3 linked regions of the Danio rerio genome follow. Each later gene encodes a partner of the first gene's protein in a complex. Links are inferred from orthologs where the notes say so. Each region holds a gene or a part of one and is shown on either strand. Other genes may lie near its edges.

Region 1 (4,144 bases):
TTCATGTGATGTCTGATAAGCTGATAAGGTACTGTAGGTTTTTAATAAGCATCTCATTATGTATTTTATATTTATTTGTATTAAAAGCTGCATCAACCATAGTTGTTTTGTCAGTTGCCTACCACATTAAATAAAACTACTCTTGAAACAGTCCATCTCATATTTTGCTTTCATGTTCATTTTTAATTCATAACTTTTTTTATTTCCCAAAATCATTTCATATTATGGAAGTTAAGCCATTTAGGATCCTACTGTTCAAATGCTTTAAGTCAAGATATTCATTTATTTTATTTTTGACTTAGATTCTTTATTTATCTGGGGTCGCCACAGTGGAATGAACTGCCAACTTGTCCAGCATATGTTTTATGCAGCGGATGCCCTTTCAGCCGCAACCCATCACTTGGAACCATCCATACATATTCATTCACACACACTAACGGACAATTTAGCCTACTTAATTCACTTATAGCACATGTCTTGGGACTTGTGGGGGAAACCGGAGCACCTGGAGAAACGCACGCGAACACTGGGAGAACATGCAAATTCCACACAGAAATGCCAACTGACTCAGCCGAGGCTCGAACCAGCAACCTTCATGCTGTGAGGCGATTGCGCTACTCACTGCACCACCGTGACACACTCAAGCTATCTTAATGAAGAATAATTTAAGATAACTTGCTTTTACCAAAGATAATTAGATGTCCACAGAAAATAAAAGCGTTTTGTGTAAGGTTTCAAAGAGCTTGCAGAACGACAGTGGAAAATGAAACCATATCCGTGCTATCTGGGCCGGTTTGGAAAAGAATTGGAACGGTTCACCATATAAACGATTCAGCACGATAGTGGAAAAGCAGCTTAAGTTACAACCTTTTAAGTTCTTAAATGTTTGAGTGAAATAAATAAATAAACATAGTTTAATGTAATGAACATTTCCAATGCTTATTCATTTCTATTAAAAAAATGCTTTTTCTGAGTTAGAATAGCAAGTGTTTTCATTTATTGTGACTGGAAATGGGTATTTCACAAAACAACTAATTCCATAGCTATTCTGAAGTTATAATTGTGTGTAAATTTTAACTAATTTCAAATATTGCTACTTCCTTTTTAATCTGGCATGGATAGACATTTGCACCCATCTCATTCCACTGAAAGGGCTTTCTAACTATGCACTTCATGACAGCTATGTGCTCGCACCCCTTCTTCATGACAGCTATGTGCTCGCACCCCTTCTTGTTCTGATGTTTAGCCGAGTTCATCTAGTTCATTGAGAAATTAAGCAGCGTTCGGTGACGTTTGATTAGCGTTTGATATGGGAGGAGTCGGATTTGCCCACAAACTGACAGAAAGCAGACAGGCGATGAAGATGGTGGATCCAGACACACATCGGGCGGACCGTTAGATCGCAACAAACCGCAGTAAACGTAAGTGAGAGACGAGGCACGAGATTTCATTTCACGCCTTATGTTCAGTCGCTGAAAATGTTAGGTTAAACCGAACCGGGTATTGAATGTTTTTGTACCTCAGCGAGAGTCATTGAGGTTTGTTCAAAGTGACTGTTGTAATGTTTGTCGCTTTTCCTGCGGAAAACAGGCAGAATAGCAGGCTGTTTGTTTACACTGGAAGGACCATATGTTTCTATGGCGTGGAAAGTACATTTAGGTTTACCAACAAGAAATGCAATGAATACATAAATGGGAAGTGAAGTTAGTAGTTCTCAGTCAGTACGTACATGCAATGAAATTTTTTTATCCTAAATAATTGTTCCACATCATTTGTAATTAGAGCAATAAGCATCATATGGTGATTGACTGTTAGTTTAGAATATGGTGACTCCATACGTTCACCAAAATGCCTTTTCAGTGTAACTTTTTTCTGTACACCAGTAGATGGCGACAACTATGATTCACCAAAAGTTTGGCTGCGTTCAAGTCCAATTTTTTTACGCCCTTCACTTGCTAACTGCCCTCTGTATCTTATTGGGTGTCTGTCAATGATTTTGTTTATGCAAATGTCTCCTATTGGTGGAACATCTGAAGCGTTTAAATGGAATGCTTTAGGAATCACACTGTTGTGATGTCACTATCACTTATAGGTGCTGGAGTGGACATATGAAGCAGACTTGCTTCCTTGATTACTTGATGAAGTGGAACACACTTCAAAATTATGTTAGGGATTCCCCCGAGGGAAAAAGGGAAGGAAAGTGTCTGTCTAAAAGTGCTCTGGAAAACAGTCATTGAGAAGGGTCAGGCTGCAGACTGGGAGCAGATGCAAGATGAGCTGCATGCTTAACCCTGCCTCTCATAGGGACGTCACAAGCTTTATTGAGTGCATTGTGTATGAGATTATGTCAGAGACAGTCAGATACTATTGCAGATAATCTCCACTGTTCTATAAAGGCAAAACTATGACTGCATCTGAAAACTTATGCAGCTGATTTCCTGTTAAAGTACTTTTCTGTATTTTGAAACTTTATATGAAGGGTTGCAACAAACATAATCCAAGAGCATCCTCCCTGTACAGCCAAAACACCAGGGGATGCCGATTGCTCCTAAATCTGAAGGGCTGTTCAAATGAATATGCTAACTTATTTAGGCTTGAAAACACTTTGGAATGAATATATTTCCTATGACAACAGCACCTCACAAAATTGATTTTAGAGAGACTTACAAGAGAGCATAATGAGTTTTTTTTCCTATATAAGTCATAGTGTACACAACAATATCTGGGCTTGCTGCATCACAAATACTAAAATGGTAACAATTTATAAAAAAATGAACAACTTTCTGGCCATCGGATATTAGGCATGGACATATATATAGCGATCGTAGAGCACTTGGACCCGGAAGCCACTTTGCGTGACGTCACACTTAACAAGCGGATTAGCTTTGGGTAAGTCAATGCAACAGCATACTGCTTTAGCTTAGTTTACTGCTCATCAGAACTCAAAATATGTGAAAACAGATTAAAAACATATTTAGTGCCTCCCATAAGTGGCATAAAGTCTGTTAAATCTTTTATTAGTTTAATGTGTATATTGCTACGTTTTTGGTGTATGTCTGTTATTAGATGACAAGCAAAAGTTGAATAAGTTCTTAATGCACATTGATCATCATGTCATATCACTCCAAGGGCGTAGATTCGCTCTTGATATGGTGGGGACATACATCCCTAGAGCGCATGCATTGAACAGCACAAATTCTGTTTTTGCTCTTTTAAAAACATGATTGAAACTTAAAATCTTAAAGGGCCATGAAACCACCTTGTTTCAGCAGGGTTTTTTCCACACCTCTACTTTGGAAAAGTCAGGAAAGTGGGCGTGTCCAGCTCTGTTTAGGGGGGAGTGTCGGACGAGCAAAAGAGGCAAGGTCTGTAAAAATTTGCATAATAATGGGAGTGTCGGTTTGGGCATACGCTAATTTTCAGAGAGGCAAAACACACACACACACACACAGGGGAGAAAGATAGTGACTGTGCTTACATGGACACCAGTAATCAAATTATTTGACAAATTATTAAATGATGGACTTTAACTGAAGTTTGGCACTTTCATTCAGGAATTTCATTCATGCCTATTTTAAAGATAGAAATATCCGCTTTGCGCCATGTCGCATGGTCTAACAGGGTTAAGCTTAATCTCTTAATGAGTTATAGGTATTTTTTGAGAATAAACCACTCAGTCTCATCATCCATTTTCTTCAAGAGTCAGTTGCGTCACGCCATAGTGCATTTGCTATTTACATGGCGGACTTTGTAAGTGGGAAAACTGAATACTTCACTAGAAAGAAAACAGTTAAACAGAGCATCTACGGCCAAGAAAGAGCCTCCTCATTCTTTACTTTCACTCTTGTGGATAAGGAAATGTGTTGTACGCACAGATATCCATTAGCCTATACATAATTAATTTTGTTTATTAAGCGCAAATATTTTTTTCAAAACTATTTCTAAATTCACTTCTAATTTCCAGCAAATGAATAAATAACCAATAATAACGAAGTGTGCTCAAAAAACTGAGTTACTGTATATCCAAATACACATGGTATGCCCCATATGGTCTAAAACCTGACAGATGGCCAAATATAAGCTTGTTTTTATAAAACAAATATAAATATGCATATAATAAATAATACTTCTAATAATAATAACA
Region 2 (4,269 bases), on another chromosome or scaffold:
GCAAAGAGGAATGGGTAAAAGTTCCCAAAGACAGGTGTGCCAAGCTTGTGGCATCATATTCAAAAAGACTTAAAGCTGTAATTGCTGCCAAAGGTGCATCAACAAAATATTGAGCAGAGGCTGTGAATACTGATGTACATGTGATTTTCAGTTTTTTTTTTTCACATTTTCAACAATTAAAAAAAGAAGAAGCTTTTTTCGCATTGCCATTAAAGGGTATTGTGTGTAGAATGTTGAGGAAAAAACAAATTTAATCCATTTTGGAATAAGGCTATAACATAAAAAATGTGGGAAAAGTGAAGCGCTGTGAATACTTTCTAGATGCACAGTTAAATAGATATCAGTTCTGATTGACAGAGACTGAGATGTGCTTAATTTTACAATATGGAAAATAACAAAATCAATTACTAAAGTTCAACAAAAACTGATCATTCAATATAGACTCAAGAGGATTGTAAATATTTCACTGACAATTTCTTTTTAGCTGATCTGATATCAATTTCAATATACTCTCCACAAGGATCTCAGTTCATTTAACTTCTGTGATTAAAACAGATAATATTGGTCATGTTTTAAAATGTTATCATTACTTTTCCCATGCAGACGCCAACACGCCAATAATGTCAGCCACGTGGAGAGAAGGACACCTGATGGATATGTGAAAACTGATTTAGTGTGACAAGACTACGTAATTGTAAAAGAATGTGTTTGACTCTTGTGAATGAGAAGTGAACAGACTGGGCTCTTGCTACTGGAACCCATTATCACAAGTCAAGGAGTGAGACAATAAAGCTGAAGTGAGATGCCATCTCAAAGAGGCAGGAAAGTGAGTCATTCAGGAGGAGGAACAGTGGAATGCAGTTCTGCCTGAGAGAAGAAATAAATACTCATGTGGAGGAGGAAAAGGACAGTGCAGTCTTATGTGATACGCATTTCAAACCTCAACTGTATACCTAGTTACATATATCCAATTAGTGTTCTGTGAAATCAATACAAGAAAAAGGAAGGAATTATTACATTTTTCACAATTGAGCGACGCTCTAATTAGAAGCACAAGGATGAGTTATTACTAGAGTCAAGCATCCTTACGTTTGAAGGACAGAAGAAAGATTTTACCTCTCTGATGGCAGCACAGAATTTGCTCTGAAGGACTCTCTGGAGAGCCTGGAGTTTGGGAGGAGGAAGCTGACCGCTTCTTTGCAGTCTGTCCAACAATTCAATCACTCTGCAGACATCTGCAGGAGAAGTCAATATTATAGAAATATATAGATCAAAGACATGTTTGTGTCTGCAGCAAACGAAACAAATAAAAGTATATTATACACATAGAAAGCTTATCCAACTTTAATTTTCCAAATAATGTGAAAAAAATAAATGGTTACTTTCATTCCCAATAAAATAAATAACTGTAAATTAAACCATTATTTTTGCACAAACAGAAAGGAAGATATTATTCTAGATTTGTTTAAATTATTATAAAGTTCGGGGACACACAGTGAGTAGCTCTGTCACCTCACAGCAAGAAGGTCGCTGGTTAAAGCCTATGCTTGGTCAGTTGGCTTTTCTCTGTGGAGTTTGCATGTTTTCCCTGTGATGGCGTGGGTGTTCTCCGGGTGCTGTGGCTTCCCAGACAGACCAAAGACATGCGCTATAGGTGAATTGGGTAAGCTGACTTGACTAGTCTGTGTGTGAATGGGTGTATGGGTGTTTCGCAGTGATGGGTTGCAGCTGAAAGGGCATCTGCTGCGTAGAACATATGCTGTATAAGTTGGCAGTTTATACTAATGTGGCGACTCCTGATTAATACCAGTCTTATAGGGATAGTTCACCCAAAGTCAAATGTTATGCGTTTCCAACATTCCTCAAAATACTACCTTTGGGTTCAACAAAAGTCAAAGAAACTCATAAAAGTTTAACCACTTGAGGGTTATGGAGTAAAAAATTTTTTCAAATTATTGTAAAGTTCAGTGTGCATTTTCTGTACATCATTGTACAAAATACAAACGGTTTCCCGAAAAAAAAACAAAAAAAAACATTTGGATTTCTTTATATTTAAGCAAAATATTTATAACACAATCTCGACAGTTAAAATGTTTTGATAGAACAAATTTTCTGTCCAATACTGTCAAATATTTTAAGTTTATCAGGAATGCAAAGCCAACTATCAGTGTTTTACAAGTGCCTTAAAAAATCAGAAACACCCAATAACCTGCTGTATCTATTAAGCTTTCAGTCCAAATCATCCACCAGTGATACAAAATAAGCCCGTGTATATAAAAATAGCATTCTGTCTTAAACACCCACATAGCCTTGTTTTGTTTGTCTTTTTATTATTATTCAATGAATTCTAAGCCTTACACAAACACTAGCACACCCTACTGTGGGGTGAGGGGGGCAAACATCCATTCATTCAGATTATGGAGACTGTGCGCCTCTCAGTGGTCACTGCTGCTGCTTGTTTAACAAACACAAGAACCAGCGAGTGCGTTAGCAACGCTATCAGCTTTAATATTTGCACAACGCCACTCTCCGTGGCTTGCACACAACAATGAGAACGGAGTAAATTACCTCTTTCCAAGCACAGCGGTTCTGTCATCGCCGCCATGTCCACCTCTTTCCCCGTATGATAATACGATGACATCATGAAGACTGCTGCAGTGGAGGACTGAACCGCTTTCAGCGACGTTATACCAAATTAATATTTCAAAACAAAATTTGAGATGAGCTTTAAGTATGTAAAAACAATATTGAAGGCGCAGACGATCCAGCTCTGATGGCGAGATGCGCGGGTCTGAGCGCTCGTACAGAGCGGCAGCTTACTGGATGACGCAAGACCACACGTCACAGGCGCGAGTTCAAGTCGTTTTGCAACCCACAAGCTCGTTTAACACCGTAAGATTTAAATAAATAACCAAAACACTACTTCGGCAATAAAAAAGTATTTATTCAAGAATTTAAAGCAGAACAAATACGACCAGATACAAACTGAAAAAACCTATACATAAAATTAAGAGCAATTTCTGTGAGACCATGGCAGACATTCCCATTTAAAAGCAGGTGTCATATTTTCTGCCTTTGTTCCTGCTGTAAAATAAGGGGCAACTGTACGATTTGTAAACGATCCATGTACAGGACCAAATATGAAACAAAATGTACATGATGAAAATAAAGTAGCAGAGAAATTAAAGGGAAGACCAATACAAAAAGAATGTTACAGATAAATGTACTAACCCATGAAACGTTACTATTGTACTCCGCAAACATCTATGAAAATGGACATAACAGTACTAAAACAACCCCAATAACTCCAACAAACAAATACTTATCTTTGACTGAAACTACACTGTATTATAATACAGTGCTTCAGTCAAGAAATCCCCTCCCAGTTATGGTCATTTGATATCAAAATAATGTTAGACAGGGAATTCAAATGCATCATTAAGCTAATTATTTACTGTAGTCCAAGCCCCAGAAATAGGTTTACCAGAGCTAAAAACATAAAAAAGCTCACAGTTTAGCTACATAATGTTTATTTTAACAATAGGACGCTTCTTACCAGGGAGACACTAAGCTCTCTCAGTGACAGCTGTTATTAGTACAGTATAATACTCACACGCTGTGGACAGTGCAAGCAAAGGGTGGAGGCATTAAATAATGGTTGAAGATATTTGTGGATCAAATCAACATTACATCTAGATAACCTACAATCATTCACACAACGATGGCACTTTTAGTACTCATCACCCTGGGCCTCCATCCTGTACCCATTTTCATTGGAGGCATAGCCCTCTCCCGACTGCATGGAATCCTGATCCATCATCATCATCCTCATCCCATCCTGTGAACCTTCTTCTGATTGCGGTGGCACTGGCTCTTCACCTTCTTCACCTCCATTACCCAAACCCTCATGATCTCCGGAGGAGGTAATGTGTCGATCTTCCCTTCGCTCCCCACGGTCCCGATCTCCACGGTCTCGCTTATGGTCACGATCTCTATCCCTGTCCCGCCTTCTGTCCCGATCCCTTTCTCTATCTTTATCTCGATGGCTGCGCTTCCTATCACGATCTCTTTCCCTGTCTTTGTCTCGATCCCTCCCCCTTTCCTCTCCTTCAGGTCCTCCCTCCTCACCTCGCCCTGGTTCACCACCCAAGGGGTCCTCTATGCCCCTATCTCCCCCTTCAGGCATCATGCCATCAACTAGCCCGCCCATGCCTTCCTCCCCTCCTTCTGCACCTTTTCCTCTTTCCCTGTCTCTCTTCCTATCCCTGC
Region 3 (4,292 bases), on another chromosome or scaffold:
CTAGCCTAAATAAAACAAATAAGACTTTCTCCAAAAGAAAAAAATATTATCAGACATGCTGTGAAAATTTCCTTTCCCTGTTAAACATAATTTGAAAAATATATATAAATAAAAATAAAATAAAAATCTTTCCCCATTTTTTGTTTAATGGAAAGAAGATTTTTTCAACACACTTCTAAACATAATAGTTTTAATAACTCATTTCTAATAACTGATTAATTTTATCTTTGCCATGATGACAGTAAATAATATTTTACTAGATATTTTTCAATACACTTCAATACAGCTTAAAGTGATATTTAAAGGCTTAACAAGGTTAATTTAACTAGGCAATTAGGCAAGTTATTGTATAATGATGGTTTGTTCTGTATATCAAAAAATATATAGCTTAAAGGGGCTAATAATTTTGACCTTAAATTTTATTATTTTTTTAAATAAAAGTTTCTTTTATTCTAGCCAAAATAAGACAAATAAGACTTTCTCCAGAAAAAGATATATTATCAGACATGCTGTAAAACTTTCTTTGCTCTGTTAAACATAATTTGGGAAATATAAAAAAAAAGAAAAAAATACAAAAGTACAACAATTATTTTTGCTTGATAAAAAAAAAAAACGTGCCGTTTGGTCATCAATATTTAATATTTCAAAGTCATATATATGTATTTGTATCCTCTATAAATGTTTTTTCTAAGAAAAATAGTTTTACAAAAATATGTAATTTGTTATCATTAATTACTTCAACAAAATAAACATTTTTAAAGCATTAATTAATCTTAACATTTTTTAGCATTAGCAACAAATAATTTTTATTTAAATAATATATAAGTAAACATATTTCATGTAACTAATATAACAGAACCAACAATGAAAACACAGTCATATATTTCTTGATAGTAATGTGATAACATTGTTAAAGTTTTTTAAATGTATCATCTGATGTCAAAATAACCCAAAAATAATACCCTAAAGTGTGCCTAAAGATTTCTAAAATAAACAGTTGTAGTCTGAATTGTAAAAAAAAAATTTAATAAATAAATAAATAAATAAATCATCATATATAAATGCATTCCTTACCTGGAATAAACTATTCATTCATATGGTTTAAAATGTATGGAAATATTTCTGCCCTTGGATTCTGATTGGCTAATACATTATCCAATTGAGCGTGGGTTATGTTGTTGACCATATATCACTGTATAGCTGCCATAACATTATTTTCTTAACTAGTCCAGTAACATATTACTGACAGTAAAACAGCCCTATTACACGTGTCTACTATCTGAATTGTAATAATTTATGCAGTCAAACTCGATGTCCTAAACAAAATACCAAGTCGAACAGTCCATATTTGCTTTAAATATATTGTTTAATGTTAAAATTATATATAATATATTCCAATTTCATTGAGAAAATCATAATAAAGTCAGTTTGTTATGGTATGCAAAGTGTCTGCGCGGAAGCAACGCAGGAATGACGCTCTTGACGCTCATCCGTAATCTCGGTGCATTAGCCACAACGCTTAAGCTCAGCAAGCTAACAGCAACAAACACAGCCGCCGAGTCGCAACTCTGGAGCTTTCACCAAACGCAAACTCAACAACCAGGGCTATAATGGCCTCTTTAGGAGAACCTGTACGTCTGGAAAGAGGTAAGCCGCGCACCGAGACACTTTCTGCCGTACGTGAAGCAGGATGTTGTGTAAATCACGCTTTTTGTTCTCCCGCTGTCACTTCGTGAGGATGGATTAGTGCTCGACAGAGAGCTAGCATCAATTCACCGTTCGAGATCATACACGTTTTTCTATAAACTAAACTACGTTCACAAAACGTATAAAATGTGCAATACGGACATTTATATGTCGTTAAAGCGGTGAGTTTACGTTCAACGAAAGGAAAACACGAGGGTAGCTGTCAAAAGCGTTAATCTTTTGTGAGCTCTGTTAGCATGGGCACTTCAGGTCAGAGATCAGTGCATCTGAGTATTTCTAGGGGTTAGTAAAGTCTTTCAGTGACGTCCTAATAGTCAGCAACTTATTTTGAGTTTAACTGAAGCTTTAATACACAGTAGAGTTAACTTAGGCTAGTAGATCAGCTAAAACTCTGATTTATGACCGTCTGTTTTTATCTTAATATTTACATGTATCTGTATAAATCAAGAAGAAACCGGTAAGTAGCATTATAATAGTAAATAATTTCATTCTTAAGTTATTTAGTTTTTATTTACAAACATTATTTCTTTTGGGTAGCGTTAAATTATATACTAGTAACGTTACATACAATATATGGCGCAATATTAATAACAACAACAACAACAATAATATTTGTCATAAAGAAAGGATTTGCTAAAATGTTATCTGCGGTCCGTGTTGTTGTTTTATTTATCAGGGAAAGCTGTTTAGCCACAGACAACATCTCCAGATGGCATGATGCAAATGATTATCCATGGTCTTGGTCTTACATATGTTATTCTACAGACATATCTCGTGCCATTGAGCTGCTGGACAAGCTCCAGAGAACAGGGGAAGTGCCACCCCAGAAGCTGCAAGCCCTTCAGAGGGTTTTGCAGAGCGAGTTCTGCAAGGCCGTAAGGGAGGTAAGTGTTCCAACATCACATTCATGCTTTCAAGTTAAATTTAAACGTCTTCTTACAATTTTGAGGGATGTAAACAATAACAACGGTCCTGACATATTTCCGTTTTTTAATTTATTAAAATTTATTTAAATTTCCAAAGATTCTAAGAGTCCAAGATGTTCCACATATTGATAAATAGTGTTACGATAGCTGTTATAACATCAAGTTATGAATAAATTGTCTCGTTACAGGTATAAAATAGTTTGATAACAAGCAGAAAATGTTCATTGGCCAATGACATTACCACATTGAAATGGTCTATAAAATTTCTAGGTTTGAAAACTGGGGATTGTTTTGCATTGGTTACCTTTTTAATGCTACGAATTAACCTTAACAAATCTGTTACAGAATACAGATTCTAATGCTTCAAACTTCATATTACATTAAGCACATTTTCGCTTTTAAGTACGATACTTAAGTAGAGATCTCTCCTTACCCCAGAGAATAAATTATGTCTGCTGCATATAATCCCTTAAACATGTCTCTTATAGCCTCTTATAGGTGTGAACATGTAATGGTCAGAAGCAGATACAGTATATACAAAATCATTGATAAAACATAAACAAATTGGTAAGAAAAATGACAAACAATGCAATTTGTATGCAAATGATGGAGTAGGAATTCAACATGTATAAGTAAAGAAAAAGTTAGAAGTGCATATTTGATGCATAAGAAGATAAAATCCCCACTATAAATCCATTACTTCTTTACTAAAAGGAAATAGGCATATACATTACTGTTTATTGCAGTAAGTATATTACAAGAAGTTATATTATTAAATATTCATGTTAAAATATATATTTATGTAATATTTCCAGACAGGTTTTAGTGAACTTTCAATATTGTCAAAAACACAGAACTTTTAGTTTTTGTTTGTAAAAAGGCCTAAATGCATGCAAGGTCATTCAAATCTTTTTACACATCTCCAACAAACACTTGCAATCGGTTCATGAGATCGGCCAGATCAGAGAGTACCGATTGAGTTATTAAATGCGTTTAATGGCCGATACCGATCTCTGGCTGATCAATCGGAGTATCCCTATAAATAATGTTTATAATGAATGCCTCTAACTATTCTTACATATTTATTTATGTAATGAGCATGTTATAATGTAATAAAAAATTTTGTTTTAAAATTTAGATTTAGGGTTATCGGCAGTCTATTTTACATCGTTCCTGAATTTAATTTGAAAATGGGTCTGATATTCCAGTGTAACTAACCAGACATCAGCATAAAATATATTTATAGCATCTAAATAGGTTATTACAGGTGAGTCTTTAGAAAGCACCATCTATTAGCTTAGAGTGGCTTATGCTTATAAAAGAAAAGTTGTGCATAAAGCCCTATGGATATTTGTCTGCGTTTTATGCAAATGACTAACTCTGGGCATGCAGCTGCTGTTTTTAAAGTACAACCAATTCATTAACATCATAAAAAGGATAACAAATTGATGCCCAAATAAAGTTTTGGTAAGAACTTCTCTTATTTGTATTCTGCTAAGGCGTTATTGGTGAATGAGATCCGCTGTGTGATGCTGAGGGGGAAAAAAAAGTAAGGTGTGATGAATGTGCCAAAGACTGACAGGTTAATAATACAAAAAATTGAGCAGGCGGATGTTGTTTCATCCTCACAAGCTCCTCTCTCTTTTTTTTTGCCCAAGT

Evidence for each region. Proteins that work in one complex are often made in the same cells at the same time.
Region 2: apba1a (region 1) and lin7b share a complex: the UniProt entries of both Homo sapiens proteins name them as parts of the brain-specific heterotrimeric complex. The link is inferred for Danio rerio from reciprocal best matches to the Homo sapiens genes APBA1 and LIN7B.
Region 3: apba1a (region 1) and lin7c share a complex: the UniProt entries of both Homo sapiens proteins name them as parts of the brain-specific heterotrimeric complex. The link is inferred for Danio rerio from reciprocal best matches to the Homo sapiens genes APBA1 and LIN7C.

What each region holds. Positions count from the first base shown.
Region 1 is NC_133180.1:56,742,865-56,747,008, forward strand, and holds the start of apba1a (amyloid-beta A4 precursor protein-binding family A member 1), read left to right. Parts: upstream 1-1,333; 5' UTR 1,334-1,421; intron 1,422-4,144. UniProt on the Homo sapiens protein: Putative function in synaptic vesicle exocytosis by binding to Munc18-1, an essential component of the synaptic vesicle exocytotic machinery. May modulate processing of the amyloid-beta precursor protein (APP) and hence formation of APP-beta.
Region 2 is NC_133178.1:30,723,286-30,727,554, reverse strand, and holds the start of lin7b (protein lin-7 homolog B), read right to left. Parts: upstream 2,801-4,269; 5' UTR 2,606-2,800; coding exon 2,569-2,605; intron 1,236-2,568; coding exon 1,117-1,235; intron 1-1,116. Other genes in the region: snrnp70 (U1 small nuclear ribonucleoprotein 70 kDa), read right to left, coding at 3,731-4,269. UniProt on the Homo sapiens protein: Plays a role in establishing and maintaining the asymmetric distribution of channels and receptors at the plasma membrane of polarized cells.
Region 3 is NC_133182.1:31,966,185-31,970,476, reverse strand, and holds the start of lin7c (protein lin-7 homolog C), read left to right. Parts: upstream 1-1,492; 5' UTR 1,493-1,610; coding exon 1,611-1,647; intron 1,648-2,472; coding exon 2,473-2,591; intron 2,592-4,292. UniProt on the Homo sapiens protein: Plays a role in establishing and maintaining the asymmetric distribution of channels and receptors at the plasma membrane of polarized cells.